Sus scrofa: one gene and its partners. The protein of the gene in region 7 interacts with the protein of the main gene of each other region in a pairwise test. Links are inferred from orthologs where the notes say so. Each region holds a gene or a part of one and is shown on either strand. Other genes may lie near its edges. The genes, in order: KIF5A, TRIM9, SH3BP5, SRGAP2, CCDC88A, TRIO and EXOC1.

Region 1 (3,019 bases), on a different chromosome or scaffold from region 7:
CCAGAAGGTCAACATGGACAATGGTGAGTGAAAAAGACAGGTAAGCAGCCTGTGGGATCCCCAGGGAAGGTTGAAAAGTACCAGAAAAATAAGTGACCCTGTACCTACAGCTCAAACGCTGGGTAGCCCTTCAGGGTCTTGGACTCTTAGAAGTGGATTCCTCCAGTCACCTGCCTGTCCCCACCCTTCCCCTCCCTTCCCCTTCTCTCCTCAGTGACAGCTCTGGAGGCTTTTTTTCCAACCGAATAAGGAGGCAGCATGGGGTAGTTGAAGACAGTGCCACAGACCCAGATGACACCTATGATCCCAAGACTCTTAGCTTTTTCGCCAAGGGATCAGGAGGAGAGAGGGTTTGGGGTGACTGGTTATAACACCCAGTCTCTTTTTTTCCTTCTTTCAATCCTGTGTTCTCCATGACGATCATCTCTTCAGGAAACACCACAGATATTAATGACAATAGGTACACCAGTCCCCATTTCTCTTGGGTTCTCTGGGTGGGACCAGAAGAAAGGGTTAAATTTCACTCGTGCCTACGTAGAGGTTCCCTGGAGCCTTTGAGGGAAGGAGGAGGAAGTGAGAACCATCGGTCCCTCTTGCCATCACCCTGCTGTCCAGGAGGTCTGGTCATTCTGCTGCCTCAGTGCAGAGCACTGTCCCCTCCTCCAGTCCCCCCATAGCTCCTCCCCATCCTCCCCATAGCTTCTCCCCCCATAGCTCCTCCCCATCCCAGCCATGGAGGCTGCGGGAAGTGCCATGGGCATCTGATGACCTGGGTTTATCTCTGCCTTTGGGGACTTTGTCACCTTGGGCAAGTTGGCTCCATCTCTCTGGCCTTGATTTCTCCCCCTGCCCCCCATATTGCTGCCCTTCGTTATCTCACAGGGATGCTGAGAGAGCAAAGTGACAGGAATGCTATGGTTGATACAGAGCTGACAATGCTGTGATTGTGCTGGGTCTCTTCTTCCAGGAGTGACCTGCCATGCGGCTATGAGGCTGAGGACCAGGCCAAGCTGTTCCCTCTCCACCAAGAGACGGCAGCCAGCTAATCTCCCACATGGACTGCTGCGTACCTGCACTTTCAGGTAGTTTCAGGCCCCTTCTCTGACCAGCCTCGGGTTGCCTCCTTTCTTGCCCACAGCTTCTGTTTCTCTCGCTTTTTAAAATCATCTCAAATTTTTTACTATATAGTTGTCCCTCAACTCCTGCTGTCCCTTCCCGGGGGGGTTCCATCAGAGCCACCCCATGTCCTTTGCACGCTGGCTTCCTTCCCCTCCCCCCTTAGCTTGACCACTGTTGTAGTCACAGTACTGCCTTTGGCCACTAGGGGTCACTGCAACATGTCAAAAGAAGTGGGCAAGGGCAGGGTCCATCTAGAGCCCCAAACACAGATCACAGCAGGATGTAGGAGCTATTAGGAGACCTTGGGAGATCATCTCAACCATCCCTCTGCCTCCACCCTAAAATGATTTTGGATGGCAAGTACTTTCTGAATTAAGACATCTCCAGTAAAGGTGATGTTTGACTTACTCCTACCCCTGTGTCCTATATTCCTCATGTCTGTATATGTCACCAATAAGCATTAGAAAATGCCCCAGGAAGTCTAACTTTTTGTCCCTCTAACTGCAGGGTCAGCACTCCCCTCCCATCTTGCCAGTGGAGGTAGAAAAGAGCTGTGTGCCCACCTCCAAGCCCCCTTCTCTGCCTCTGTCCCAGGTCCTATCCCCCATCCTCTGTGCTCTCCCTGCAGTGTATACCTTCCTTCCTGGTTCTCCTGTGTCACCAGGCTTCTCACCAGGGTTGCTTTAGGGCTCAGAATCCCAGAATCCTGGGCAATGGGATCCTGTTTATTGTCCACTGTGGATCCTTGGCGAATGAGAAACAAGAGAACACAGCCAGTCTCCCCCTGGACTGCATCCCAAGCCCAGCCCTCTCCAGGGGTTTCCCAGAATAATAGGCCAGGCACACATGGGCAGAAAGGCATGAGAAGCAATCAGTAGGAGTGGGGGAGGAAGAGTTCAGGAAGGCCTGGGGGTGGAGGAGCAGGGGCTGGGAGGGTGGCGTCTGGTTTTGGGTATCAAAGGGACAGGACTGTAAGCCGAAGTTGGTACAGATGCCACACTGTTCCCGTTCAGCAGCTGGGCTGCAAGGTGGTTCCTCACAATGTCTTTCTCTTTCTTCCCCAGTTTCTAAGAGGGACTGAGGCCTCTTCTCTCAGCATGCTGCAAACCTGTGGTCTCTGATACTAACTCCCTCCTCAACCCTTGTTGTTTGACTGTACTACGTTTGATGTCTTCTCTTACTCTGTATCTCTTTGTACTCTGTATCTATATATCAAAAGCTGCTGCTATGTCTCTCCCTTCTCTCTGTCTTACTCTCTAGTATCTAATGATGTATTTAGCAATTTCTAAGCATAGTATACCCTCCTCATTTGGGGCCATAGGGAGGAGGGTCAATGTTTCTTTCTCTCATATATGCGTCTCTCACACTGAGTGGTGTTAGTCAAAGAGATGATAAAAGGAAAATGGGAGCTAGAGGGCTGTGATCCTTCACACACACACACACACACACACACACACACACACACACACACACACACATGCACACACAAAGCCTTAAGCAGAAGAATGTCTTGGCGTCATAAGAAGATACAGAAATAGATTCTTCCTCCCTTCTCTCTCACATTTAGCACAGGGGAGGGTAAAATGGAAGGACTGCTAAATATATGGAGAATTGTCTTCAGACGTCCCTCACCCGAATGGAGGGATTCCGGGTGTGCACCTCTGCCCTCCGAAGTCTGCCTTTTGCCTCCCTCCTCCCGTTCCCCCTGGACAACCCAGAACATGGATTACTTAAGGGACCACTTCCCTTTCTCCTCAAAACTCCTTTTAATATTTTCTACTGCAGTGCTCATGACCAGAACCCAGAGCTGCTTAAAATTATTTTGAAAAATTGAGGAGGCTGACCCATGTCTGGCAAAATGGTTGCTCATCTGTCCACAGTGATAGTTATAGCTAAGTAT
Region 2 (4,746 bases), on a different chromosome or scaffold from region 7:
GTGTGCAGCCCTTAAAAAAAAAAGTCTCAGACAACACTGGGATCTGTTGAGCCTGAGGAAGATATTAGTGATAAAGCAAACATGGTATTTATAACATATTTAACGACTAGTGGAACCCAGGTGAAGAGTGTCAATATGGGTGTTCATTGTACTAGTCTTTAAACTTTTTAAAAGAAAAAATTAGAGGACTCTAAATTCTGATTTCTCATTCTGGCCCCCTTTTCCTAATCTGGCTTCCTGAAAGCAATTTTCTTGTTGCCATTATGTTATTACTGTGTATGTTTGTTGGATAAATTAGACACATCTTCAAGAACTAGAAAAATACTTTAATGATTGAAAACCAAAATAAATACATCTCATTACAAAAACGAAACGAAACAAAAAAACCCAATCAGTTCCACCGGCAAGGGGCAGCAATGTTTGGGGAGAGGGAGAAGCATGCTTAGTATATGAAGACTAACACTAGAACTAGTCCCCCCCCCATCACCATCATCGCCACACACTTTCCCTGAAGAAATGGAAAGAAACCATCATCCTGGAAGCTGTGGTAGATGCTCGGGCCACATAACATTGAATAAGTCTATTTGGAGACACATGAGACTTCACAGTGACACAACGTTTCGTGTCCAGAACTAGTTTTCTAAACTATAGGCACTCAGGCAACCCATTTCTGCCTCAGTTGAACCAAAGGTTCTGCTGGCCTTGTGAAAGCTCAGCCAGGCACTGCCTGAGATTTGGGCGCTGCGGGGGGTGGGGAGTGGTTGTAACTGAGAGGGGGCAGGGGACCTAGAAACGTTCACACCAAACAGTAAGCAGCCTCAAGGGCCGAGCCTGAATTGAAAGCGTGAAATGAAGGGGGCAAAGCTTTTAACTAATATACCAAACCTTTACACCCATGACCTAGTTTAAATCTCATGGCAACATTAGGTAGTCGATATTATAAATCACCTTTGAGACAGCAAAAAAACAGGGTGAAAGAAGCGAAGAGACTCCCTCAGGGGCTCGCGGCCGGCGCCGTCAGACTACGGGATGCGGCAGCGCCAGGGGCGGGCTTTCTCGGATTCCTGAGGGGGAGAAACGCCCGGCTGCAGTACAGAAACCTAGGCCTGGGTGAGGCGGTGCCAGCAGCGGAAAAAGGAGGGTCCCCTGCGAGGCGCAGTGCCAACCGAGGGGAGGTCGGCGCGGAGACCAGAGCTGCAAACCAAACAAACCAAACGCAGACGCTAGCGGCAAGCACCAGCCCCTCCGCCAGCCCCCTCGCTGCGGGGAGGGGTTTCTCACGCCCCGCTCTCGGGTGACTGCGCCGGAGGTCGGAAGGAAGCGAGGCGAGGGATGAGTCATCCCGCCTAATTCCTCTTTCCCGGTCCCCTCGCCTCCGCGCGCCGGCCCCCTCCCGAGATCTTGAAGCCGGGAGCGAAGATTCCCCACATCCTCAGAGTCCTCCACCAAACCCCCTGTGGCCTGCGGAGGAGAGAGAAGGACGGGCCTTGTGGCCAATGAGAACTTTGCTCTCTCGCCCGCCGTCCAATAGGCCGCTGTTTATAAGCTGGGGCGGGACTAGGAGGATAGGAGGGGGCGGCCCCAGGTTGGCGCGCGCCGCTGCTGTTCTGTGGCTCACAGAGAGAGCGCCTCACCAGGAGTCGGCGCCTAGGCGACACGGAAAGGCGCCACTGCCACAGCCGCCGCTGCTGGCCAAGGTGCTGGACAAGACAGGCCCGTCGGCCACTCGTCAGCTCAGGCGCCGGTTGCAGCCGCCGCTGCTTCGCTCCCAGCCCAGTCCCCATGGAAGAGATGGAAGAAGAATTAAAATGCCCCGTGTGTGGCTCCTTCTACCGGGAGCCCATCATACTGCCCTGCTCTCACAATATATGTCAGGCGTGCGCCCGCAACATCCTGGTGCAGACCCCGGAGTCGGAGTCCCCTCAAAGCCGACGGGCCTCGGGCTCCGGGGTCTCCGACTATGACTATCTAGACCTGGACAAGATGAGCCTGTACAGCGAGGCGGACAGCGGCTATGGCTCCTACGGGGGTTTCGCCAGCGCCCCCACTACCCCGTGCCAGAAGTCCCCCAACGGCGTTCGAGTGTTTCCCCCAGCTATGCCGCCACCGGCCACCCACCTGTCACCGGCCTTGGCCCCGGTGCCCCGCAACTCCTGTATCACCTGCCCCCAGTGCCACCGCAGCCTCATCCTGGATGACCGGGGACTCCGCGGCTTTCCCAAGAACCGCGTCCTGGAAGGGGTAATTGACCGCTACCAGCAGAGCAAAGCGGCGGCCCTTAAGTGCCAGCTCTGCGAGAAGGCGCCCAAGGAGGCCACCGTCATGTGCGAACAGTGCGATGTCTTCTACTGTGATCCGTGCCGCCTGCGCTGCCACCCACCCCGGGGGCCCCTAGCCAAGCACCGCCTGGTGCCCCCGGCCCAAGGCCGGGTGAGCCGGCGGCTGAGCCCGCGAAAGGTCTCCACCTGTACAGACCACGAGCTGGAGAACCACAGCATGTACTGCGTGCAGTGCAAGATGCCCGTGTGCTACCAGTGCTTAGAGGAAGGCAAGCACTCCAGCCACGAAGTCAAGGCATTGGGGGCCATGTGGAAACTGCACAAGGTGAGTCCTAAGAAAACCCATCCCTAACTCCCCGCACCTCTGATCTTCTGGTTTCGCACTGTCCTTTGGCGCACAGTGCATACCAGCGGGGGCGCAATGCAGGTGCCTCAAATACCTGCTTCCCCTGCCTTGCGCATTGCAGGAGGCGCAGAGGGACCTTACACGGCGCACAGGGGAGTGGAACCTCTCTAGAGACTTGTTTCGGGGGTGCGTAGAGCGGGTCTCCCGGGGCGCGCTGCCTGCGAGCCGGGTGCAGGTCGCCCACTCCCGGAGCTGACCGGCAGCTCTAGGCCGCCACCAGCGTGCGGGAAAACGATGCATAACTGGGCCAACCCGCGGCTATGCTTGGGGCTGCCAGGGACGCTCCAGGGCAGAGGTGGTTGTGGGGCTCCAGCCGTGATCCCCCAGGGAGAAGATGGGGGCGGCTGAGCAGGCAGACCACTGGGAGCTGGAGCTCCTGGATAGGCTGACGCCTGGAGTCGCGGTGGGGGTGGGGAAAAGAGCCACGAACAGAATACTGATACGTCGGCGCTGGCCGAGACCCCGCGTCCGGTCTGTAAAGGATGCGGGTCAGGGTGCTTTGCGCGCAGAAGGCTTATGAGTGGGGAGTGGGTTGAAGGAAAAAAAAAAAAATCCTGTAGTCGCCATGACAACGCGGCCTGAAGGCTGCGGCCCTGACCCTTGCAGAGGGAATCTATCTGGGCGGGAGTAGCAGGACTGGAGGTTTCTGCACGGTCGCGACCTGAAAGCTAGGCAGGTGCATCTCACAATCCCCAGCTATCCCCCTCCTACTGATCACCCACACACCCATTTGTCCAGGATTCAACCCTTTCCTTTTGTCAGTAGTTGTCTGTGTAACTTTGAGACTGCTGTTAACAAATTTATCTCTTACCTCTTTTGATGTCACCTCTGCCAAAGCTAGCTTCAAGAACAGGGCCTTTAACAACTTAAGTCATGCCACTACTCTTTTCACAATCCTCCAATTGTCCCCCACTTTTCCTAGACGGCCCTTAGATGATACACCAGGGCCTTACATGATCTGCTCCAGTTTGTTCTCATCAAATTCGTTTCCTCACATTCCCTCTGCTTCAGCCACCCTGTCCCTCTTGTTCCTCCACCACCACCAGGTCCCTTCTGGCCCCAGGGCCTTTGCATTTGATATTCCTTCAGCCTGAGACCATACCCTGTATCTGAATAGTTCACTCTCTTGCCTCCTTCAGATCATTGCTTAGACTTCACCCTTGCAGTGAGACCTTCTGATCCCCTAGTTCTCTCCCTGTTTTATTTTTCTCAATAGTACTTATCACTAACTAACATGCTGTATATTTTAATTATCAAGTTACTTTTGTATTTATCTATTGCTCCCTCAACCACACACACACACACACACACACACACACTTCATGAGGAAAGAGATCTTTATAATGTTATTGCCCACACTGCTTAGAAGAAGGAAACCACTCTTGAGAAGATGTGCATGAATTTGACTTTTACTTTTTAAATAATCCATTTAGTCGGGGTTGCAAAGGGCAAAGCAGGGGTTCAGGAGGTTTACTTCACATCATTGAGCTGCAAGCCCAAGGATGAGGTAGGGCAGCAGAGATGGTGTTCAGGCCTCAGCTATTCCCCACTCAGTGTCCCACCATTCCTTGGAGACTAGAAAGTTTAGTCTTTGAGAAAGGCCCTGGGCTTAAGTCTTGAATGTTTTATTTACAGCAAGAAAAAATAAATGATCACCATTTTTAGCAATAGGAAAGCTCAACTCAATATTAATTGAAGGTGATCCATGTTTACAGCCTCCCCTATGACCGATTAAGCCACATGAGTACTGATGGAGATTCAATTTAGCACAAATTTGAGCCCCCACCTAAGGCACATGCCACTATTTTTTAAACATTTCAATTTAAATTTTTAAATATTTAATTTTTGAAATTTTAAAAACTTGTTTGTGGACAATTTTTTCTTCATATTATGATTTCGCTCTTAAACTGTTCATTATTACCTATGTTCAAATTGCCCACAAGACTATCCTTGGAATTTTAGAAATTAATCATCCTGTCTAGAAGACTTAGAGGTACAAGCTAATTAGGATGGTCAAACCACAACATTATTCTTCTGTACAGAAGAACCTATACTTTGTCC
Region 3 (4,211 bases), on a different chromosome or scaffold from region 7:
GGGTTTTGGCACCCCCCCTTGCCCCCCCCAACCCAGGGGGGTTCTGATACAGCTCAGGTGTGAGAACCACAGCTCCTAGATCTGGTGGCTGGAATGTGGGACTTCTGTGGGTCCCTGACGCCCTGATGGGTTTATTCCCAGTAGTGGTTTCTGGGTGACCTACTTAAAGTTGTCACCAGGCTGGGAGCTGGTGGGTGGTGGCTGCTCTTGTATCTGATGGGAAGGGGTCTTGAGAGTGGAGTGATAGGCGCGCGTGTTTGAACCTGTCAGTCACTCAAGAGCATCCTGAGGCAGAGGGTGGGGGTGGGTGGATGGACCGGCAGCCTCGCTCACTGAGCCTCCTGCTCTCTCTGAGCAGCAGCTGAAGAAGACAGTGGATGAGCTGCAGGCCAAGCTGGCCCTGGCGAAGGGCGAGTACAAGACGGCCCTGAGGAACCTGGAGACCATCTCGGATGAGATCCATGAGCGGCGGCGCTCCAGTGCCATGGGGCCCCGCGGCCGTGGCGTCGGCGCTGAGGGGGGCAGCACAGCCACTGAGGACCTGTCAGGGGGCAAGCCCGAGCCCGATGCTGTTTCTGGTGAGTTGGGGGTGCATGTGGCCTGCTCCTGCTCTTCTCTCCCCCACCCCCTTCCCACCCTGTTTTGGGACACTAGTCACCAAGATGCTGCTGTGTATCTGCAGAATCAGGATTCTGTGGTCATGTTTGGAAAATGTCACACTCTCATCCCCAAGTAATATGAGGGCATTCCAGGCTCTGAGAAGTCCTGCAGGGATGAAGAGTTGTCTGGAATAGGGACTTTGGAATCCGATTTGATTCGAGTCCTGGCCTTTGCACCATGACTAGTACGTGATGCGGGCAAGCATGTAACTTCTATCTCTTTCTTCCCCAGTAAAGCAGGGCACATGATAGTCCCTGATGTCCACTGTGTAGAGCAGTGGTCAGGTTTAATTGAAGGAGTGCCAGCCCCCAATGGACAATGCATGTGGTGTCTGGCCACCCCTGGGAAACTGACTCAGAGAGTTGCTTCGGCTCCCCCTATGTCAATCCAGAACCCCCGCTCCCTCCCCCAGTGCCGCCTCCGGGACCTTTTTTTGCCCCTTCTGTGGAGTGATGGCTCTTGCCACCTTCCTCAGGTGGGCTTTAATTCAGCCAACAGATGTTCACGCGTCAGGCCCCAGGTAAAAGAAGGAATTATAATTTGAGCATCAGTGATGTGAGCACATTAGTGCTCACCATCTCGTAAACCTGTGAGGAGAGGAACATGAACCTGAGAGAGGTTCAGTAACTTGACTGAGGCTACAGAGCATATAGCGGAGAAAGGATTTGCTCTCAGATCTGAGCCCACTGTCTGTGCCCAGCATCACAGTCCTTCTCATGGGCGCCAGTCCTCCATGGGATGCCACAGGTCGTTTTTAAAGCTGAGGGAGGAGGACAAGGGCGTGGGATGGCATGTGGGCTGAGGAGTAAATAGTTTAAGGCCGAGGCAGCTTTTAAACCACCAGAATCTCTGGGCCTTGCTTATTCTGGTCCACAAAACGAGTAAGGCACAAGCTACAGAGCAACATAAAGGTATTGTGGGCTTGTTTTTGTTTTTGTTTTGTGGCAAATGGTGATCTCTGTGGGCTCTAAGCATGTCTTTTATGGGATCACAAGTTACTTGGAGGGAGACAGAGGTCCCAGCAGACATTCCGCACAGAGCTGTCTCGTCCAGCAGCTCCTGCTGCTCCCACAGAACGGAGGAAGATTCCTCAAGTCTGGCTGGCTTTGTTTAGGATGCATTGGGCAGGCCAGCCCTCTTCCTGTGCTCTTGGGGATCTATCTTGGGGACTGGGGTGAAGAAAAGCCCCGTATCTTTGGCTGAATTCACCTTCCATCATGAGGCAGGGTCTGGTGACGGTGACTTCCAAGGCAGGGGCTGTAAAGTGACGGGAAGGATACTGACCAGCCACGGGGCCCAGCGGCTTCTCTTCAGGGTGCTCCAGAGCCTGGCCACTCGAGTACAGGCGAGCCACGTCCCTTTCATCAGGTGCCCACAGTGGCCGGGTCCTGCAGTTCCCAGCCCCTGCCCAGCTCCTCCAGCAGTGGACACATCTGGAGGTGTGTAGGGGCCGGGCTGCTGTCCTTCAGACCTGTGTGACGACTGTCCCCTCTCATCCTAGTGGCCTCCGAGGCCTTCGAAGATGACAACTGCAGCACCTTCGTGTCTGAAGATGACTCGGAAACCCAGTCTGTGTCCAGCTTCAGCTCAGGACCCACAAGTCCGTCCGAGGTGCCTGACCGGTGCCCTGTGGCCGTGAGGCCGGGCAGCCTGGACCTGCCCAGCCCTGTGTCCCTGTCGGAGTTCGGGATGATGTTCCCGGTGCTGGGACCTCGCAGCGAGTGCAGTGGGGCCTCCTCTCCTGAGTGCGAGGTGGAGCGAGGTGAGTGCCCGTCCTGGATGCCGGGGTGCTGGGGACGTGCTGGGGTGGGGACAGAGATGGTTCCCAGCTCCGTGCCTGACCAGGATCAGCGTCCTTCTGCCTCTCATCACAATAGTCCTCTTGACAAGCACCTGCTAGAGAGGTCTGTTTCCCAGCTGTCACAGGGGTGTGACAGATTTCATCTCTAAAGATGAGGGATATACGGAGTTTCTCGAGAAACACAGGCAGTGAGACGTTAACGCGATGGAGGGGCTTCTGTGACAGGCTCGGTGGAGCAGCACTGGGAGAGTCTGGGTTGAGCCGGCTGACGGGCTTGGTACTCACGCCTTGATCTTTACGTTTCTACAGGAGACAGGGCAGAAGGGGCAGAAAATAAAACGAGTGACAAAGCCGGCAGTCATCGGGGTCTCGGCAGCAGCGGCGGTGACAACGGCAAGAGCCCGAGTGGCCCGTCCGAGGCCCGGGCCTTGGAGGACAGGATGCGGCAGCTGTCCCTGCAGGGCTCCAAGGGCAGAGACGAGGTCCTCGTGGACATGAGCATGGTGCAGGTCGGCTGATCCAGCCGTGGCTCTGGCCTAAGCACACAGCGATATTTATACACGAAACTGTACGGAGAGCGTTGTGCCAATAATCCTTTGATGTATGCCAAATCCTAGCATTTCCTCTAAACTGCACTAAGAACGTTTCAGTGACCTTGAGGGCAGAAGATGTTTCTTCTGGGTGACAGCTCTTGGGCTGGAGCGTTTTTCAGCGCAGAGGTGTCGTTGCAGGTGGGCTGTGAGCAGGCCCACAGCCTTTGTAGGACGTTCCTTGTCACCGTGTCATGGAAGCAATAACTGGTCCCTGGGAAAGACCCCGAGTCAGGAAAGGGGATGGGAAACCGAGCCCGGCCAGGGTCATCTGGGAAAATGACCTGTTTTCTCCTTTAGATCCCTTGGGATCTAAAGGAAAAAAATACATGAGACAAAACTCAACACCTTTTTGACCCAGTGAAAGCTTTCCAAAAAAAAAAAAAAAAAATCCGAGAACACAGTTCATGTTCATTATCTCTGATTTATGGAGGGGGATTTTAGAAGAGTATATTTGGTGGGACACCCATTAAAATCATTTTCTATATAAGCTTACCATGAGCTGCACTTTTTGGGGGTGGGAAAGGTGAATGCTGGTCTGGGGAGGGGGACAAGGGCAGCAGGGGCCTGTCACAGAAGGGGGTTCGTGGCTGTTGGGGAGAAGGTTCTGTAGCATAAACCTCATCCCATCAGCCAAGGGGACTTATTCTAAGAGAAGTTGCATGTGAGGAATGGTTGCCAGTGTTCTAGATCGACAAGGTGTTAATTTCTCCATAGGTTGTAACTTTAACAATAAATTATGATGCACTAGTATTTCTTAGAGGAAACTGTTCCTTCCAGCTAGGAAAGGGAGTAGGCATGTGTTGGCAAAGGCTGTTAAATAGAAGCAGTGGCGTCTGTTATGCTAATAGTATGTTATGTGACTGCTGTTCTTGTTTTCATGGTTACATGCATTTAGAGCTTTGTATTTCATTTGTCCTTTTCTGTTAAAACTTCGATTTTTAAAAGAAAAAAAAGCAACCCCATTCAAGTTGTCCATTAATTCTGTCAGCTTATATATCTGTCATTTGTAAATCTCTTCATACTATCGTGTTTTCTCCTTTTTTAATGATTGATACAGTATCCTAATTATGAGGTTATTTTGTACTTGTCTTAATACCTTGAGTGTAATAAAAATGGCTTAAGAAAATGTCTAACTTTCTTTGACTTCCATCAGAAAT
Region 4 (4,460 bases), on a different chromosome or scaffold from region 7:
GGAAGGTGAGTCATGAATCCCATGTACTCGTGACCAAACTCCCGGCCACTCTTAGTTCACCCACCTTTCCCCTCCCCACTGGATTGTACGTCATTTCATCTGTAAAGAAGTCAGTGATATGTCTAAAACCTGAGGACTATTTGGAAAGCATCTCAACCACACTATCTCAAGAGGAAAAAAAAAAACCCTCATGAGAATGAAAGTCCCTTTGCCCCCCTTCCCTCCTGTTCCGAACAGCCATGTGTTCAAAGATTGGGGCCGAAAGAAAGCATCTGGACATCTCTTTCCAGTTGGTTTCTCCATGATTTGGCCCAGGTTGTTGAAATAGCGCCCCCCGCCCGCCCGCCCCAGGGGGTGGGGGGGCCTCTCCCCGCGCGAGCCTCACTCCCTCCCTTCTCCTGTCCCCAGGATATTGAAGCGACCATGAACTCTGCCCTGAACGAGCTGCGGGAGCTAGAGCGGCAGAGCAGCGTCAAGCACACCCCGGATGTGGTCCTGGATACCTTGGAGCCCCTCAAGACCTCCCCCGTGGTGGCCCCCACGTCAGAGCCCTCCAGCCCCCTGCACACCCAGCTCCTCAAGGACCCCGAGCCGGCCTTCCAGCGCAGCGCCAGCACCGCTGGGGACATCGCCTGCGCCTTCCGGCCCGTCAAGTCCGTCAAGATGGCGGCCCCGGTCAAGCCGCCAGCCACGCGACCCAAGCCCGCTGTCTTCCCCAAAACAAATGCCACTAGCCCCGGTGTCAACTCCTCGGCCTCCCCACAGTCCAATGACAAGTCTTGTACTGTCTGAGGGGTGTAATTTAATTGTTCTAGACAAGGGGACTGGAGGGACTGACTGTTATTAAAATCTTCCTATTTAACTAGCTTGGGGACTTCAGTTGAAAATTAGATTCTAAGTTGTTCTTGCAGGATTTAGCCTTCCCGTCACCCCAAACCTTGCGAACGGAGCCCTCGTTCTCGCTCTGCCCTCCCCCTCCCTTCCCTCTGCCCTCTGCTTCCCCCAGTCGTTGTAATCCAGCCAGTACATACTGTTCTTAGGTTAGCCAGAGATAAATTTTTCCATTATCAGGTCACTGTGAAATCTGGCGAGGCAAGTCAGGGGGCAGTGGGCTGAAGCCTCCGTCCCCGCAGATACAGGGGATGCCTAACCAGATGATTGGCTGGGGACAGCCAGCTCTCAGTGGCATCTTGTTTTGGGTACTGATTATAGAGAATCATATACAGTCCATTCTCCGTTTTACACACACACACACACACAAACACACACACGTAGATTTTTCTAGTCTCTGGCATGTGTAGCCTCCTGGTCCTAGATAGACCAGTCTCTTTGTAAGTTATTGTGGCAGTTCACACAGGAGCCACCAGGGGTCTCTGTTTCCGTTACAAATCTTGTTCTGTCTGGGCCAGAGAACCTAGCCTTTGAAATCTCTCCATCATTTGAAATTTAGCAGGATGGGACTCAATCCTGCAATCTGTTTGGGGTTGGGGGCTTCCTCTCTGTCTTATTTCTATCGGTGTGAATTGGTCATTGGTGTTTGCTTTTGCTCTCCTCCATTCTCTAGAACTGCAACCCAATCCTACTATGGAACTTCTGAGGTTTTTCTGAATGTATAGACATTTCTTGGGTTTCTATCTTCGTCTCTGATGGACCATTTTCCACTTAAGACATTTTCCTGTATAAGACAATTTTATAGTTGGTTCCTTTTAGGGTGAAGAGTCTTAAGAGAGTTTTATTGTGTTTATGGCAGGCTTGGAAATGGTAAGAAATGGGTCCTCTTCCTTCCACTTTTTTGGGTACTTAAGACATAAAATTCATTATCCTATTAAAAATTAAATGCAGCTTTTCTAACCTTAAAATTGTTCCCAGATGAAAATCTACTCTCAGTGGATCCCCTCATTGGGTTAATCTACAGGGTCTCTCTTCAGGGACCAGTGGGGGCTTAGGGAGCCCTAGTTAGATTAAAGAGAGACATCGCCCCTTAGAATTGGTTTATTTATCCAGACAAGGACAACTAAGAGAACTTTGGCCCCATGGGCTCTAAAGTCTTTCCAAGGACTGAATCGAAGAAAATTAAAAATTGGATGCTGAATATTTGGGCCTTCCTTTGGCCTTTTTTTCTGGGTCCTCTGCCAAAAGCAAAAATGACACCTTGACTGCTTTAATTCCCTCTCCAGATCTGAAGCCCATGGTCCCAGCTCTCCTAGCATCATGCGGTCCCAGGAGGTCCAGGGCTGGGACCACTCACACCCCAGGCTGCTGGGTCTCGGATAACTACTTGAGTTAAAAACTGAAATGCATTCCTCTTCTCTGTTTTCTGGTTTTAAAGCTGTGCTTTTTGCCTTATTTTCCGCAGTTCAGGAAAATAGTGGGTTGCCATTCGGATAGGAAACTGAATTTTCTTATCTTTGGCCTAGAAGATCCTTTTTTGGACCAACATTGGGAAGTTGGTAGTTGGCTCTGTGGAACACAGTAGAATTTTCCCCATTCTGTGCAAAGGAAAAGAGGAGCATGGTGGGAAGTCACTGGTTAGAAGAGTAGGCTGCAACACCAGGAAAACCATCCCAAGAGCTAAGAGGGGGAGATGAAGAACGCCTTCAGTGAGTCGGCCTGTGAGAGGCAACCCACGGTCCTCTGGATTCTTGACTTTTGTTGCTCTGTTGAGTGCCTGTCCTTGTCTGTCACCTGGACTTACACAGGTCCTGAGCCAACAGGGGGCTTTCATCCCCAGGGATCTGTTTCCTTGCCGACAATGAAACCCCACCCTTCATCTGACATTCCTTTTGCTCCAACTAGTCAAAATGGGTGCCCATAGCTGCCCTTCTGCCCTTGCTCCAGCTCATCCTTCTTTGAGAAAGGAAAGGCAGGGCTTCCTTAGGGACGCCACCTTGGGTCTGTTCTGTTGCTCTGCCTCATTTCTCTTGCAGCCCTGAACCTGACTTGTGTTCACCGTCCCCTTGGTCAGGGTCCGTCTGCTGATGTGCATCACGAACTGGACAGTGTGTGCGTGGTCACCTGCTACCCCCCGATCTGGGAGTCGAGCTGTCTTCCCACCTCTGGTGCTCCTGCCACCTGTGAGAGGGTCCCGTCCAGGGGACTAGGAACCCCAGGAGGAGAGTCCTTCCTCGGCAGAGCTCATTGCCATCAACTGGAATCGAGGTTGCACACTGTGATTTTTACACCGAAAAGCCAAACGGAGCTGGCCCCCCAGGGCCTAGGGAGACCAGTCTTCCTCCGATATGCTTGCCTAAACCAGCATGATGCTTCAGAGAGCCCCTCTCTGCCCCTGGAGGCGTGGATTCTCTTCCTGATGTGGACTCTGATGGGTTGGTCTTTGGGAGACAGAGGTGGGGTGGGGCTTCCAGCATCCCAGTTTGGAAAAGAGAGGAGTTTGCAGCCAGCAGCCTGGAAACTGGAAACACTGGTCTCAGCCAACCTCCTCAGGGCACACCCTGGTTTCTCCCCAAAGAGTTGAGGAGAGATGACGCCAGCAACAGGAGGAACCGACCACTGGAAGGGCTGGTGTACATGTACTTCATGTTCAGAAGAGAAGTTAGATCTTCCAGGGAATTGCAATGTTGTGGCGTCTGGCTTGTATGTCACGTTTGTGTAAAATGGTATATTCTTTAAAATAGTGTTGATAACTGGAATATTGTATGTATGCTTGGAGATGCTTTGTGTGAACCTAAGACTGTCACTCAACAGATGTTGGATTGGGGAAAATCCAAAGCACAACTTCGAAATAAAATACGTTTTTAGGTTTCCATGCTGCAGTTTATATCCCTTCTCCTCTCCCTGGAATCGCCAATCCAGGAGTCCCGCTGCCCAGGAGGGATTTTGATTTGTCCGTGGTAATGGAGCCCTGCCCAGCAACAGAAGGAGAGATGGGGTGACCTCAGGAGCCAACCATCTCCTCCCTCCCCCAGCAAGACACAGCAGAGGTGCATTTAGAATGTGGATTCCTCACACACACCCCCCACCAACATTTTCATTTAGCCCATGTGGGGAACCTAAGAGATTGTGTAGCAAGTCTTCCTGCTCACCATTGGGCGGCCTGTTGCCATGGGAACCATTTCCTCCACTGAATCCACCTCTCCCCGCTCAGGGAGGACTGTTCTCATTTCTGTCTCTAAGTCAGATTTCCCCACTTGCAAGAGTGGAGCCTGCGAAGTTGCTTGGAAGCTTTGCCAGCCACAACCAAGGGGGACTGATGATTTTCTTTCTTCCACGACCAAGGCCGTGGGTGATTCTGCCCTGGGCAGCCCCCAGCTTCTGGAGGAAGAGCTTCGCCATGTGTTTGTGCTGCTCGCTGTTGTTGAGTACGGGCGTGGGGTGGAGCATAGGGAATGCTTTCTCTCCTCTGGATTTTGATTCCAGCAGACTCTTAAGTTTGAGAGTGGGGAGTTCCCATTGTGGCTCAGTGGTTAACAAATCCAGCTAGGAACCAGCTAGGTTGCAGG
Region 5 (4,211 bases), on a different chromosome or scaffold from region 7:
AATGCAGTTAATATTTCATGCAAGCTTTCTTGTGGTTACACAGTCTCATTTATATACATGCCACAATATACATCTGAACACTATGCCACAATTTAAAAATATAAATCTAGCCAAATGTTACTTTCCAACAGCAGCTCTTCCAATCAGATTAGAGAAGCATAGTGCATATGAAATGACATCATACACATTTTGTGCAATTTTTATCATACACAACCATACTCATACCAAACAGTTTGATTATCCTCAGAAACCAACAATGCGGTTTCTGTGTCCTTAGGATAGGGACATGCAGGAGTGATAAGATCACTGCTATCTACAGAAGACTGTGAGTTACTATTACTACAGTTCTGACTATCATAAAACTGCTCGTTATTTTTCCGTACAGCTTTATCCAAAGAAGCAGAAGCCTGGTCAATTACTCTGGTGACTGATCTGGGAGGCAACCCACTTATGTTACTGACTAATTCTGTATTTAGAGATAAAAATGGCTGAGATGGATAAGCCACAGTAAAGGACTCTAAGCTGTCTTTAGCTGATATTCCAAGTGCATCATTAAACATATTACTAGTGGCAAAAGTTTGGTTTAGAAAATATGACTTTTCTGCTCTTAAGTTTCTGGTCTGGGCATATGGAGACTTGGGCTTGTCTGTACCTAAATTATTTTGTGCTTGAGAGCCTACAGGATATGCTGGACCGTGAAGTGTATGAGAGGACCACGGGTATAAATGGTACTCACTAGATGCTGCAGTGATGCTGCTATCAGCAGTAGCTGGTGGTGAATCAACTGACATAGGTAGTCTACTGTCTTTTGTCAAAAAATCATGGATACTTGTCCTTCGAGTAGTTCCTTCGGCAGTAGAGATCACACTGCTTGCACGAGGTAAAGTGGCATAAGGATTACTATCTTTTGATTGTCGTGACAGAGAAGTTTCTTTTACTAACTTTATCTTTCCTTGAGTGCCTAGTGTAGACTTTCCTGAAGAACTAATGAAATAGGTATCTTCAGTCTTTTGAGGACCAGGTCTCACAAACTGTTCAGGCTTAGTTGTCCGTCTGTCATAGAAGTCTCCAGGAGTTTTTCCACTTACTGACCTGGCCAGACCACAGCTAACTGGTTTGTTTTTTCCCAAAAAGTCAGAAGATACAGACAAACTTTTCATTACTTCATCTAAAAGATTCTCTTGACTTGAGGGCTTTATCTATTAAAAAAAAAAATCAGAGCAGATTAGAGAATACAGCCATGCTTTTTTAATTCCCTGATAGAGGAGCCTGTACAATAAAAAACTGCTAATGTCCCTAAACACTCCTTAACTTAAAAAAAGGCTCTAAAGTTCAACCACAGAAATTTAACTTGTAGCGTCCATCTAAATTAGGGTTACCATAGATAAAACTCACCTGTATTGAGGTAAGCTTGTTGCTTTCTTCCAAAAACTGTTGTAGAGTAACAACTTCACTTCCAGGGGAACCACTTTTGATCTTGCGATGTGCTCGACTCTCTAGTGTTTTGTGCTGGAGCACTGGACTTGATCTGGTTTGTCTTTTCAAGTACTGGATTGGACTGCTACCACTGCTGGACCAGGCTTCATGCTCATGAAGCAGGCTAAATTCTCCACTGCTGTGGCTTTGTGGCCTGCTTTGGATATTAACTGCACCTGCTTTTGGAGTAAATGGTATGTTAAGAGTTCAATAACTGAACTGAGATTAAAACTATGTAAGTACTGACATTTGTTGACTGGATTCTTGTGAACAGTCAAACTGACTTTGACAGCTTTCTTTAGACATGCTTAGTAAACCATGTTAATCTTTCATTAGTCTAACAACTGTTCACCAGAGCCTGCTTCAAGGGCAGACTTGCCTTCACCACCATACCCAGAGCCTAACCATACAAAGCAGGCACTCAATACATCTGATAAGAAAGCGAATGAATGAATAAGTGAATAAGACATTTTAAAAAATTCAAGTTCAAATAATTGTAAAAGGCCTCACAATTTAGAACAAAACATGATTACATGAATTTTAAATTATTTGAGAATGTTAAAATCAAAAACTCTCTTGAAATGCTAAAAATTCTTTTTTAAAAATTTTATTTATTTTTTTTAGTGGCTGCACCTTTGGCATATGGAAATTCCTGGGCTAGGGGCTGAATCAGAGCTGCAGTTACGGGCCTATGCCACAGCCACGGCAACATGGGATCTGAGCCGCATCTGTGACCTATAATGTATATTGCAGCAATGGTGGATCCTCAACTCACTGAGAGAGGCCAAGGATCTAACCCGCATCCTCACAGACACTATACAGGGTTCTGAACCCACTGAGCCACAAGAGGAACTCCATTAAAAAATTGTAATTTTTGACTTTCTTCTTTTTATTGGCCATACCCATGTATGCAGAACTTCCCAGGCCAGAAGATGGAACCCACACCATAGCAGTGACCCAAGCCATAGCAGTGACAATGCCAGATCCTTAACCAGTAGGCCACCTGGGAACTCCCATTTTCTGATTTTCTGTGAGGTCTTTATTCCTTATTTGAAGGCTTCTCTGTTCATCCTAAATGAATATCTGGACTATCTGATTCTTCTTGCTTTCCACTCTTGGCATGGTGTCTATAGAGCCTCAAGATTCAGTTGAGGTTGAACTACTATACAAAATGCAAACTACTAGTTCTGGGAAAAAGCTTCCTAAAGTTTATGCTATTCCTTAAGAATGCTTATTCATTTTGATCAATTGCAAACTGTACGGATACAGCATCAGATAGAAAATGCAACTTTTTACAAGGAGATCCTGCTGAGTAGCATTGAGAGCTATGTCTAGATACTCATATTGCAACAGAACAAAGGGTGGGGGAAAAATGTATACATGTAAGGATAACTTGATCCCCTTGCTGTACAGTGGGAAAAAAATAAATAAAAAAAAAAGAAAAAGAAAAAAGTAAAAAAAGAAAATGCAACTTTCCATGGTTTCCTAATCACAGAGAATAAAGTGGGTCATGAAAGATTTTGGCTCAAGCTATGTGACATTTTATAGAAAAGAGATTTTCTCAAATTTTCAAATCAGAGAAGACTTCTTCACATTTTCAGACTATATTTTTTAACAGGATACAAGAACATGATTTTATATATTTTTTTTAGGGCTGCACCTGCAGCATAGAGAAGTTCCCAGGCTGGGGGTCGAATTGGAGCTACAGCTGCTGGCCTACACCACAACTACAGCAACATGGGATCTCAGCCACATCTGCCACCTATACCATGCCTCATGGCAATGCTGGATCCTTAACCCATTGAGTGGGGCCAGGGATTGAACCTGCATCCTCATGGATGCTAGTCAGATTCGTTTCTACTGTGCCACAAAGGGAGCCCCAAGAACATAACCATAAAGACAAAAAATAATCTTTCCTTGAAATCGGATTTTCCTGTTCACTGCAACAGAGCATTAATAAAATAAAATTACAACTGAAATAAAATGTTATAAATACGAAAAAGCAATAGGACAAATGCACTCATTATAATTTAAAAATTCCGGACTGTAGAGAAAAACCACTTTAACAAACTTTTTTTTTTTTTGTCTTTTTCCTATTTCTTGGGCCGCTTCCACGGCATATGGAGGTTCCCAGGCTAGGGGTCCAATCGGAGCTGTAGCCACTAGCCTACACCAGAGCCACAGCAACGCGGGATCCGAGCCGTGTCTGCAACCTACACCACAGCTCACGGCAACGCCGGATCGTTAACCCACTGAGCAAGGGCAGGGACCGAACCCACAACCTCATGGTTCCTAGTCGGATTCGTTAACCACTGTGCCACGACGGGAACTCCTTAACAAACTTTTTAAATCTATTAAATAATTCCTGAGTAGGAAGTATACCTTTAAAGAAAAAGGTATTAATTAGTCAATGCTTCCAGACATTTACATAAAAACTTCACCTTGGAGGCAAAAAATACCTTGAATTTTTTTTTTTTTTTGGCTGTGCTCTTGCATGGGATCAAACTTGTGCCACAGCAATGACCTGAGCCATAGCAGAGACAACACCGGATCATTAATCTGCTGAGCCACTAGGGAATTTCACACCAATTTTTTTTTTTTGTCTTTTCAGGGCTGCACCTGTGTCATAAGGAGGTTCCCAAGCTAGGGGTCAAATCGGAGCTGTAGCCTCTGGCCTATGCCACAGGAACCCCAGATCTGAGCTGCACCTACACCACTGCTCACGGCGACAATGG
Region 6 (4,211 bases), on a different chromosome or scaffold from region 7:
AGAAATGCCCTGGAGGCCTGGGAAGACCACTGGAGGCTTAGGATGGGCCTCGGAAACCATCTGTAGAGCTCTTGAGTATTTCATTTAAAAAGAACTGCTGCCCTACCTGATGCCACCCCCCGGGAGGGCCAGCAGCGGCCTCCTTCCTCCTTGTCTGCTTCCTTGAAGTTGTCTGCGGTCACGGCCAAGAAGGTGTGCCTAACCCACATCCCAGGTCCTTCTTCCTCCTTTAATGGGCACCTTCTAGAAAGTTCTGCTGAGAGCAAGAGTGGAGTGATTGTGGATCAACCCAGACAGTGACTGTGCCAGCCCCACCCGTGGACACACGGCCTCCCTGCACCCACCCACACACCCGGGCAGCAATAAAAGTACAGCCCACCTTTCTTGCAGAGGCCCGGTGGCCTGTGCAAATTTTTAACCTCTACCCACTGGCATTAAATGAGAGATTTTTTAAATGCCTAAGACCGGTACATAGGAGGTTTCCAGAAACTACCAATAGCTGCTATTATTGTGGCAAAATATTCAAATTATGAGACTGATTTTCTTTATTATATATATGCTATATTACCCAAAACAGCCATGCCACAGCCGTTGGTTTTTGTTTATGTTTTCTAGCAAATGTGGCTTTATAGTCTCAAAACTATTGGGTGTTGCTCTATAGTCACAATACTAAAATACATGCTAAAGGGGTAAAATTGCATGAATGAGCGTGCAAAGCCTGACGTGGGCAGCGTGGGCACCCACAAGGGGTGGGAACACACACCAGAGTCCTCAGCTGGCACAGGAACAAGCACCAGCACTCCACTGTATTTAACTTCAACATCCACTGTAGGCCCAGAGTCCCAGCCCGGGCCCCTGCAATTCCCAGCACTCGGGCTCTTTGACGGTGGCTGGCCATCTGCTCCAGTGTGTCCTGATGCCAACTCAGTAGCTCAGAGCTGACAGGAGTGTAGCAAGCCTCCTGACAGTCACACCAACAACCCAAGTCTTGCCCCAGGCGTCTGAGAGCCCAGAGGAGGCTAGTGTCCTGGGAGTACTGGGAATCTGCGAACGTCCAGGCGTCTTCGCTGAGAGCCTCTGAGAACAAGCTGACAGGAACAGGGTGCCTGACGCCATTTCCACATCCCGGCAATTGAGAAGGGGGACCGGGCAGGATGTAACTCAGAATTGGCAGTGGTCTCAGCTTCCTCCTCCTCCTCTGGAACAAGGGGGTCCATCGGTGAACGACAGCTTGGGACAAGTACTATCATTTGTATGTCATTGCCTCAGCCGCTATCACCACTCAGCTTGTGGGCCTGGTAGGTGGCCTTGAGAAATGATGATTGTTTTAATTTTGCAATCTTTCCTCATTGACTGAGTTCCTGAACAGGCAGTGAGTGCCTGCTACATTTCATTCCCTGTGATGGACACTAAAGACACAGCAGTGACCCACGGAGATCGGGTGGCACCGTGACCCCAGGATAAGGGCAAGATAGGCTTTCTCATGCCAGGGCTGCCCCCATGCAGCAGCACCTTCGCGACTCTGGAATCACACAGGCTCACAAGAGGGCCTTCCACCAAGGAACACGTGAAGGAGGCAGAGCAGGTCCCTGAGAGCAGAGCAGTAGTTTATTGATGTTTCAGCGATCGCTCATTCTTCTTCTACAAGGCAAACATGTGGAAATAAATTAGGATGCCAGCAGCTCAACGTGATTCTGGCATCTGCGTTCTCAATGAACATTTTATCTGGCAGATTTGGGGACTTCTCCATGATCTGACCTATCATCGGTGGACTGAAAGAGCTACTCTCTGCGGCTTTTTAATTTAATGATACCTTTTAACATGGGAGAGATGGTCACATTGACATTACTGCGACATGGATAGAACCCAGCATGGGCATGGTGCCAGTGTGAGGATGAGCTGTTGCTTTTGCTGGTGCGTGGATGATGAGACCGAAATAATCATGCTTCCAAAGTAAAGTGTCACCATCACCATGATTGTTTGGTTTTTTGTTTTTTGTTTTTTTTTTTTTCTAGATTGCTACTAAATTGCTTCCTAGAGAAATCCTGATTTGTCAGTTATGGAAAAAGGGGCACCAAGTTAGCCAGAGAGTGTGGAGGAAGGGTGCAGGGTTCTGGTGAGCCCTGCCCTGGGCCGCCATGCCATGGCACAGGCTGCCAAGCAGTTTCCTGTCATCAGATCTTGTTTCAGTTCCCCTCTGCCTTTTTGTTCATCTCTCCCTCTACAGAGTGAAAGTAGCAGCAGTAGCAACATCTCCACCATGTTGGTGACACACGATTACACGGCAGTGAAGGAGGATGAGATAAACGTCTATCAAGGAGAGGTCGTTCAAATTCTGGCCAGCAATCAACAGAACATGTTTCTGGTGTTCCGAGCCGCCACTGACCAGTGCCCCGCAGCTGAGGGCTGGATTCCGGGCTTCGTCCTGGGGCACACCAGTGCAGTCATTGTGGAGAACCCCGATGGGACTCTCAAGTGAGTGCCCACTGGGGCCACCATGCGGGGCGGGGGCCGAGCCCAAATGAAGTGCAGAGGCTCTGGAGGGTAAAGCCTGTCAAACAAGCTTGTCCATAAGTACATGGTGAGTCCCTTAGTGAAGATGAGGTAGCCTTCCATCTGTTTGTTCTGAGGGGTTCTTTTAATAAGAGAAAAGTATTTGCACACATGTGGCTTTTTTAAGCTACTAGATAGAGGCCAACGATATTTTAGTTCCCAGAGGTTTGGGGGTGAAGGGTGAGGACTTTACAAGGCCCCCACACCCCTGATTGGGCGTCATGAGGGTGCGTCCATGAAGATGCTCATTCCGTAAGCGGCAGCCAAAGATAGATGTGGTGCCACTACCATTATGCTTTATACCTACTAGGTCACTTCAGTTGAAACACTTGAAACGAACTTTGCTGCCTTAGACATTATTTTAAAGAAAACTAAGTTCAGGTGCTGGTTTCAAACTCTGCCCTTCCCTGAATCTCTCTGGCTATGGGAGAAGCCAGCCGATGGCTCCTGGGAATGGACCATTGCAAAATGGTGATCTTTAAGCCTCCAAAAGCTTCAGCCCCAAAAACCAGGCTCAAAGGCATGACAGTGGCTGTGTTCCTCCCCAAGCACGGCAGTATACTGGGCTGGGTTTGCAGCCCAGACTGGGCAGCATTCCAGCACTGCTTCTAGCCCACTATCTCTGGGCTCAGAGCTTGCACCCATGGGCATCCAGGCTTGAGTTCAGGCTACAAAGGTCTTATCTTCCATGATAGTCCTTTTTTCTGTTCCTCCTTAATACAGGAACTATTTTATTCTTATACATTGTACAAGAATCCCATTTTATACTTTGTTTTCTCAAGAATATTCTTTGGCCTTGTATTAGAGTTTTCCAGAGAAATAGAACCAATAGGGTGTGGGGAGGGGGCAGGGGAAGGGTGGGGGGTTGGGTTATTATAACAATTTGGCTCATTCAATTGTGCAGACTGACAAGTCCAGATCTGCACTGTGGACTAGCAGTCTGGAGCTCCAAGAGAGCCAGTGGTGCAGATAAAGTCTAAAGGTAGCCTGTAGGAAAATTCTCTCTTGCTCAGGGAGGCCAGTCTTTTGTTGTTGTTATTCCACTGAGGCCTTCAACTGATTGGTTGAGGCCCACCACACCGTGGAGGGCAGTCTGCTTTACTCTATCAACTAAAATGTCACTCTCATCCAGAAACACCCAGAATGATGTTTGACCAAATATTGAGGTCCAGTCAAGTTGATGCATAAAAGTAAACCATCACAGACACTTTTCTATTTTAATCCTTAAAATTTGGTAGAAGAACTGTTGGCTTTATCTCTGGTTATTGAGTTATGGCAAAAAAGTTTTCCTTAGCAGAGATAACTATTGCTAAAGGAGTATCAGTCAGCTTCTCGCTGATGTTTTCAGGCATCATCTGCTGACCACTGGGAGGGCAGAATACTAACAATGGGTCATTTCCCCCTAGGAAGTCAACATCTTGGCACACAGCACTCCGTTTAAGGAAAAAATCTGAGAAAAAAGATAAAGACGGCAAACGGGAAGGCAAGTTAGAGAACGGTTATCGCAAGTCCCGGGAAGGCCTCAGCAACAAGGTATCTGTGAAGGTGAGCGTGGGTGTCTCCAGAATCTGCGTTCCTATGCCCCTTGGGGAGCAGTGGCAGGGGTGCTGGTACTGGCCCAAGAGGAGGCGTGGACCTGGTGCCTGGCCTTGCCTGGC
Region 7 (3,394 bases):
TAGATGGTGTTACCCCATTATACAGGTGAAGCAACTGAAAGTCAGAACAGAGTTGGCACTGGCAGGTAGCAGAGCTGGGCATGGACTAGATTTTGGCTTTTCCATTTTACCAGACCCTTCCATTCCTTACCTCTTAAATGGCTAACCTGCGTGCCTAGTTCGCATCAAGATAAGAGGAAAACCAAAAGTTGGTTTGTTCATTACCTTTTCTTTTCTCTTCATTTCTTGTCATTCCTCAGAGCAAGTCTGATCAGAACAAGTAAGAAGTGATGATTTAGAGAACTTTGCAATGTAGTAGAATCTAAATGGCCCCTTCTCACTGACTTTTAGCCAAAGTATGATTAGTCATCTTCTACAGGTTTTCAGTTTGAACTTAGAGTCAAATAAAAATGATGTATCTGTTGTCAGCAATTCAAAGAAATACTTAAAAGACATTTAATTAAATATAGAGCCAATTCCTTATAAAACTTAAGAACAGAAAGATACTCCTTTAGGGTAAAAGGTATGTCCCAGACTTAAAGCCTACATGATACTTCACTGCAACAGAGAGACACGCCCTTTGAAATCAAATTTAAAGCGGAAACATTGGTAGATCTTTTATTATTTAACATTGATATGGAAGCTCTAACAGATGCAGTAAGACCTGAAACATAACAATATAGAAAGGAGAGGCAGAATTATAATTACCTCTATATAATATGTTGAAATTATTTAGTCTGGTAAAGTGGTAGGGTTCAAAATAAATATATCAAAAAGACAATCTACTTCCTGTATGTTTTAATAACGAATTAAAAGTCTTTGTAGGAGTTCCCGTCGTGGCTCAATGGTTAACAAATCCAACTAGGAACCATGAGGTTGCGGGTTCAATCCCTGGCCTCACTCAGTGGGTTAAGGATCCGGTGTTGCCGTTAGCTGTGGTGTAGGTCGCAGATGTGGCTTGGATCCTGCGTTGCTGTGGCTGTGGTATATGCCGGCAGCTATAGCTCCAATTAGACCCCTAGCCTAGGAACCTCCATATGCCGTGGGTACAGCCCTGGAAAAGAAAAAAAAAAAGTCTTTGTAGAAACAAATTTTTAAAAGCACCAGGAATAGGCTTGTCCAAAAAATTACTGTCAAATAATTAATAATTTAATGAGGAATAAATAAATAATAATTGCTAAGAAAATTTTAGAGAAAAATAATGAGAGGGGATTTAATACTTGTCAGTATTAAATCATATTGTGCTCAAATGAAGGCTTGCCAATCACTGTGCATATTGAAAACCCAATTATACTAGAAGACATCTGAGAAGAATATTTCTAACAATACAACAGTCAGTATATTTAATATAAAAGATCTTTTTAAAATCAATTAAAAAAGCACTAAGATCCCAATATATAAATAAGCAAGGGTTTGGAATGTACTACTACTAAGCATATGAAAAGCAGGTTGACTTCATTTATAGCCAAAGAATTGTAAAATGTAGTGACAGGTAAACCTCTTTCACTTTTTAAAATGGCAAAGGTTTTTTTAATTATGATAATGCTGATGATGGTGAGATAACAGTCTCATACGCTATTGACAGAAATAAAAATTGATTGAACTTTTCTGGGAAGCAATTTGTGTAATATGAAGAATCTTCAGAATTCTTACAATTATACTACTCAGGAATTATACTCCTAGAAATTTATACTGGATAGTAATCAATAATGTGGGTAAATACCTATGTATGAAAGTTATTTATGGCAACTAAACTTATAGTATTATGACTTTTTTTTTTCAGGCCACACCCACAGCACATGGAGGTTCCTTGGCTAGGAGTCAAATCAGAGCTGCAGCTGCCAGCCTACACCACAGCCACAGCAACGCCAGATCTGAGCCACATCTGCTAACTACACCACAGCTCACTGCAGCACTGGATCCTTAACCCACTGAGCAAGGCCAGGGATCGAACCCGCAACCTCAAGGTTCCTAGTCAGATTCCTTTCCACTGCACCATGATGGGAACTCCAATAATAAACTTTTTTTTAACAAGTAGATTTTGCCACCTCCAAGGGAAAAAAAGTGAAAAATATTAAGTACCTAATACTGTAGGAATGAATAAACAAACTGTAGTTCAGTAATTGGATGGAATATTTATGCAGCCATTAAACTTTCTTCATTGGAAAAAACCTATAAAATATTGAATGGGAAATACAACATGCAAATTTACAATCTCATTTATGTACTCACACATCAAAAGACCAAAAGGAAACCTAAAATGTTAACAGTGATTATCTCTGAGAGGTATGATAATAGCTGATGGTTGTTGTATCCTTTTTTTTTTTTTTTTTTTTTTTGTCTTTTTGCCTTTTCTAGGGCCGCTCCTGTGGCATATGGAGGTTCCCAGGCTAGGAGTCTAATCAGAGCTGTAGCCACCGGCCTACACCCAGCCACAGCAACACAGGATCCGAGCCGCATCTGCAACCTACACCACAGCTCATGGCAACACTGGATCCTTAACCCACTGAGCAAGGCCAGGGATCAAACCTGCAACCTCATGGTTCCTGGTCAGATTTGTTAACCACTGCGCCACGACAGGAACTCCGGTTGTTGTATCCTTTATATTTTCACACTTGTCCGATTTTTACACAGTGAATAGATACTACTTTATAACCAGATTTTGTTTTTAAATTGACGTGACAATGACAGCAGTTCTTAGCCACTTCCTTTTCATTCCTTGCAGCATTTCTTTGAAGGTGTTGAAGCTCGGGTAGCACAGGGTATAAGAGAGGAGGAAGTAAGCTATCAGCTTGCATTTAACAAGCAGGAGCTCCGGAAAGTTATCAGAGAGTATCCTGGGAAGGAGGTGAAAAAAGGCCTGGACAACCTCTACAAGAAGGTCGATAAGCACCTGTGCGAAGAGGAGAACCTACTGCAGGTATGCTTCGGTCGTCTGACCATCCTAGATGCACAGCCGCACACAATTGCTTTTTTCTGTAATAGTCCTCTAGAAAGGCTGGACATTTTCTAATGTTAGCACGAGGAAAGTTCCCTAATGTACAGAGCAGATCGATGAGTTGTGAGGCCAAAAGGATTAATATTTATACAAGTTTATGTGACTATTCCTGTTTATTTTACATTTGTTTTATTGTTTCGAGGCACAGTTTTTCTTTTGTTTGGGGTGGAGTATTTTTGTTGCTTTTTTGTCTTGTTTCTGTTTTGAGGGTAGAAAGGAAATTGAACTGGCAGGTGGTACAGTGGAGTGGTTCTGAGCATGGGGGTCGGGCTTGGAAATGGGTTCATAATCTGGCTCCAGATAAAGCTGCAGGACTGGGGGCAACTTACTTAACCTTTCTGAGCCTCGGTTTCTTTATTTGAGAAGTAGAAATAACACTCGCCTGTACAGCAGGCACTCCTCTTGTTGTCGTTGTTT

The links.
Region 1: the proteins of EXOC1 (region 7) and KIF5A interact in a two-hybrid assay, tested with the Homo sapiens proteins (2 studies listed by BioGRID and IntAct). The link is inferred for Sus scrofa from reciprocal best matches to the Homo sapiens genes EXOC1 and KIF5A.
Region 2: the proteins of EXOC1 (region 7) and TRIM9 interact in a two-hybrid assay, tested with the Homo sapiens proteins (2 studies listed by BioGRID and IntAct). The link is inferred for Sus scrofa from reciprocal best matches to the Homo sapiens genes EXOC1 and TRIM9.
Region 3: the proteins of EXOC1 (region 7) and SH3BP5 interact in a two-hybrid assay, tested with the Homo sapiens proteins (2 studies listed by BioGRID and IntAct). The link is inferred for Sus scrofa from reciprocal best matches to the Homo sapiens genes EXOC1 and SH3BP5.
Region 4: the proteins of EXOC1 (region 7) and SRGAP2 interact in a two-hybrid assay, tested with the Homo sapiens proteins (2 studies listed by BioGRID and IntAct). The link is inferred for Sus scrofa from reciprocal best matches to the Homo sapiens genes EXOC1 and SRGAP2.
Region 5: the proteins of EXOC1 (region 7) and CCDC88A interact in a two-hybrid assay, tested with the Homo sapiens proteins (2 studies listed by BioGRID and IntAct). The link is inferred for Sus scrofa from reciprocal best matches to the Homo sapiens genes EXOC1 and CCDC88A.
Region 6: the proteins of EXOC1 (region 7) and TRIO interact in a two-hybrid assay, tested with the Homo sapiens proteins (2 studies listed by BioGRID and IntAct). The link is inferred for Sus scrofa from reciprocal best matches to the Homo sapiens genes EXOC1 and TRIO.

Annotation. Positions count from the first base shown.
Region 1 is NC_010447.5:22,847,549-22,850,567, forward strand, and holds part of KIF5A (kinesin heavy chain), read left to right. Parts: coding exon 1-23; intron 24-432; coding exon 433-460; intron 461-967; coding exon 968-1,046; coding exon of another isoform or gene 1,047-1,082; intron 1,083-2,183; coding exon of another isoform or gene 2,184-2,190; 3' UTR 2,191-3,019. UniProt on the Homo sapiens protein: Microtubule-dependent motor required for slow axonal transport of neurofilament proteins (NFH, NFM and NFL). Can induce formation of neurite-like membrane protrusions in non-neuronal cells in a ZFYVE27-dependent manner.
Region 2 is NC_010443.5:180,827,096-180,831,841, reverse strand, and holds the start of TRIM9 (E3 ubiquitin-protein ligase TRIM9), read left to right. Parts: upstream 1-1,589; 5' UTR 1,590-1,782; coding exon 1,783-2,604; intron 2,605-4,746. UniProt on the Homo sapiens protein: E3 ubiquitin-protein ligase which ubiquitinates itself in cooperation with an E2 enzyme UBE2D2/UBC4 and serves as a targeting signal for proteasomal degradation.
Region 3 is NC_010455.5:2,505,366-2,509,576, reverse strand, and holds part of SH3BP5 (SH3 domain-binding protein 5), read left to right. Parts: intron 1-358; coding exon 359-578; intron 579-2,161; coding exon 2,162-2,422; intron 2,423-2,770; coding exon 2,771-2,979; 3' UTR 2,980-4,211. UniProt on the Homo sapiens protein: Functions as a guanine nucleotide exchange factor (GEF) with specificity for RAB11A and RAB25. Inhibits the auto- and transphosphorylation activity of BTK. Plays a negative regulatory role in BTK-related cytoplasmic signaling in B-cells.
Region 4 is NC_010451.4:67,113,552-67,118,011, forward strand, and holds the end of SRGAP2 (SLIT-ROBO Rho GTPase-activating protein 2), read left to right. Parts: intron 1-408; coding exon 409-792; 3' UTR 793-3,764; downstream 3,765-4,460. UniProt on the Homo sapiens protein: Postsynaptic RAC1 GTPase activating protein (GAP) that plays a key role in neuronal morphogenesis and migration mainly during development of the cerebral cortex. Regulates excitatory and inhibitory synapse maturation and density in cortical pyramidal neurons.
Region 5 is NC_010445.4:85,929,182-85,933,392, reverse strand, and holds part of CCDC88A (girdin), read right to left. Parts: intron 1,656-4,211; coding exon 1,396-1,655; intron 1,200-1,395; coding exon 737-1,199; intron 1-736. UniProt on the Homo sapiens protein: Bifunctional modulator of guanine nucleotide-binding proteins (G proteins). Acts as a non-receptor guanine nucleotide exchange factor which binds to and activates guanine nucleotide-binding protein G(i) alpha subunits.
Region 6 is NC_010458.4:3,907,034-3,911,244, forward strand, and holds part of TRIO (triple functional domain protein), read left to right. Parts: exon of another isoform or gene 1-1,893; intron 1,894-2,227; coding exon 2,228-2,475; intron 2,476-3,959; coding exon 3,960-4,098; intron 4,099-4,211. UniProt on the Homo sapiens protein: Guanine nucleotide exchange factor (GEF) for RHOA and RAC1 GTPases. Involved in coordinating actin remodeling, which is necessary for cell migration and growth. Plays a key role in the regulation of neurite outgrowth and lamellipodia formation.
Region 7 is NC_010450.4:55,241,102-55,244,495, forward strand, and holds part of EXOC1 (exocyst complex component 1), read left to right. Parts: intron 1-2,704; coding exon 2,705-2,899; exon of another isoform or gene 2,900-3,394.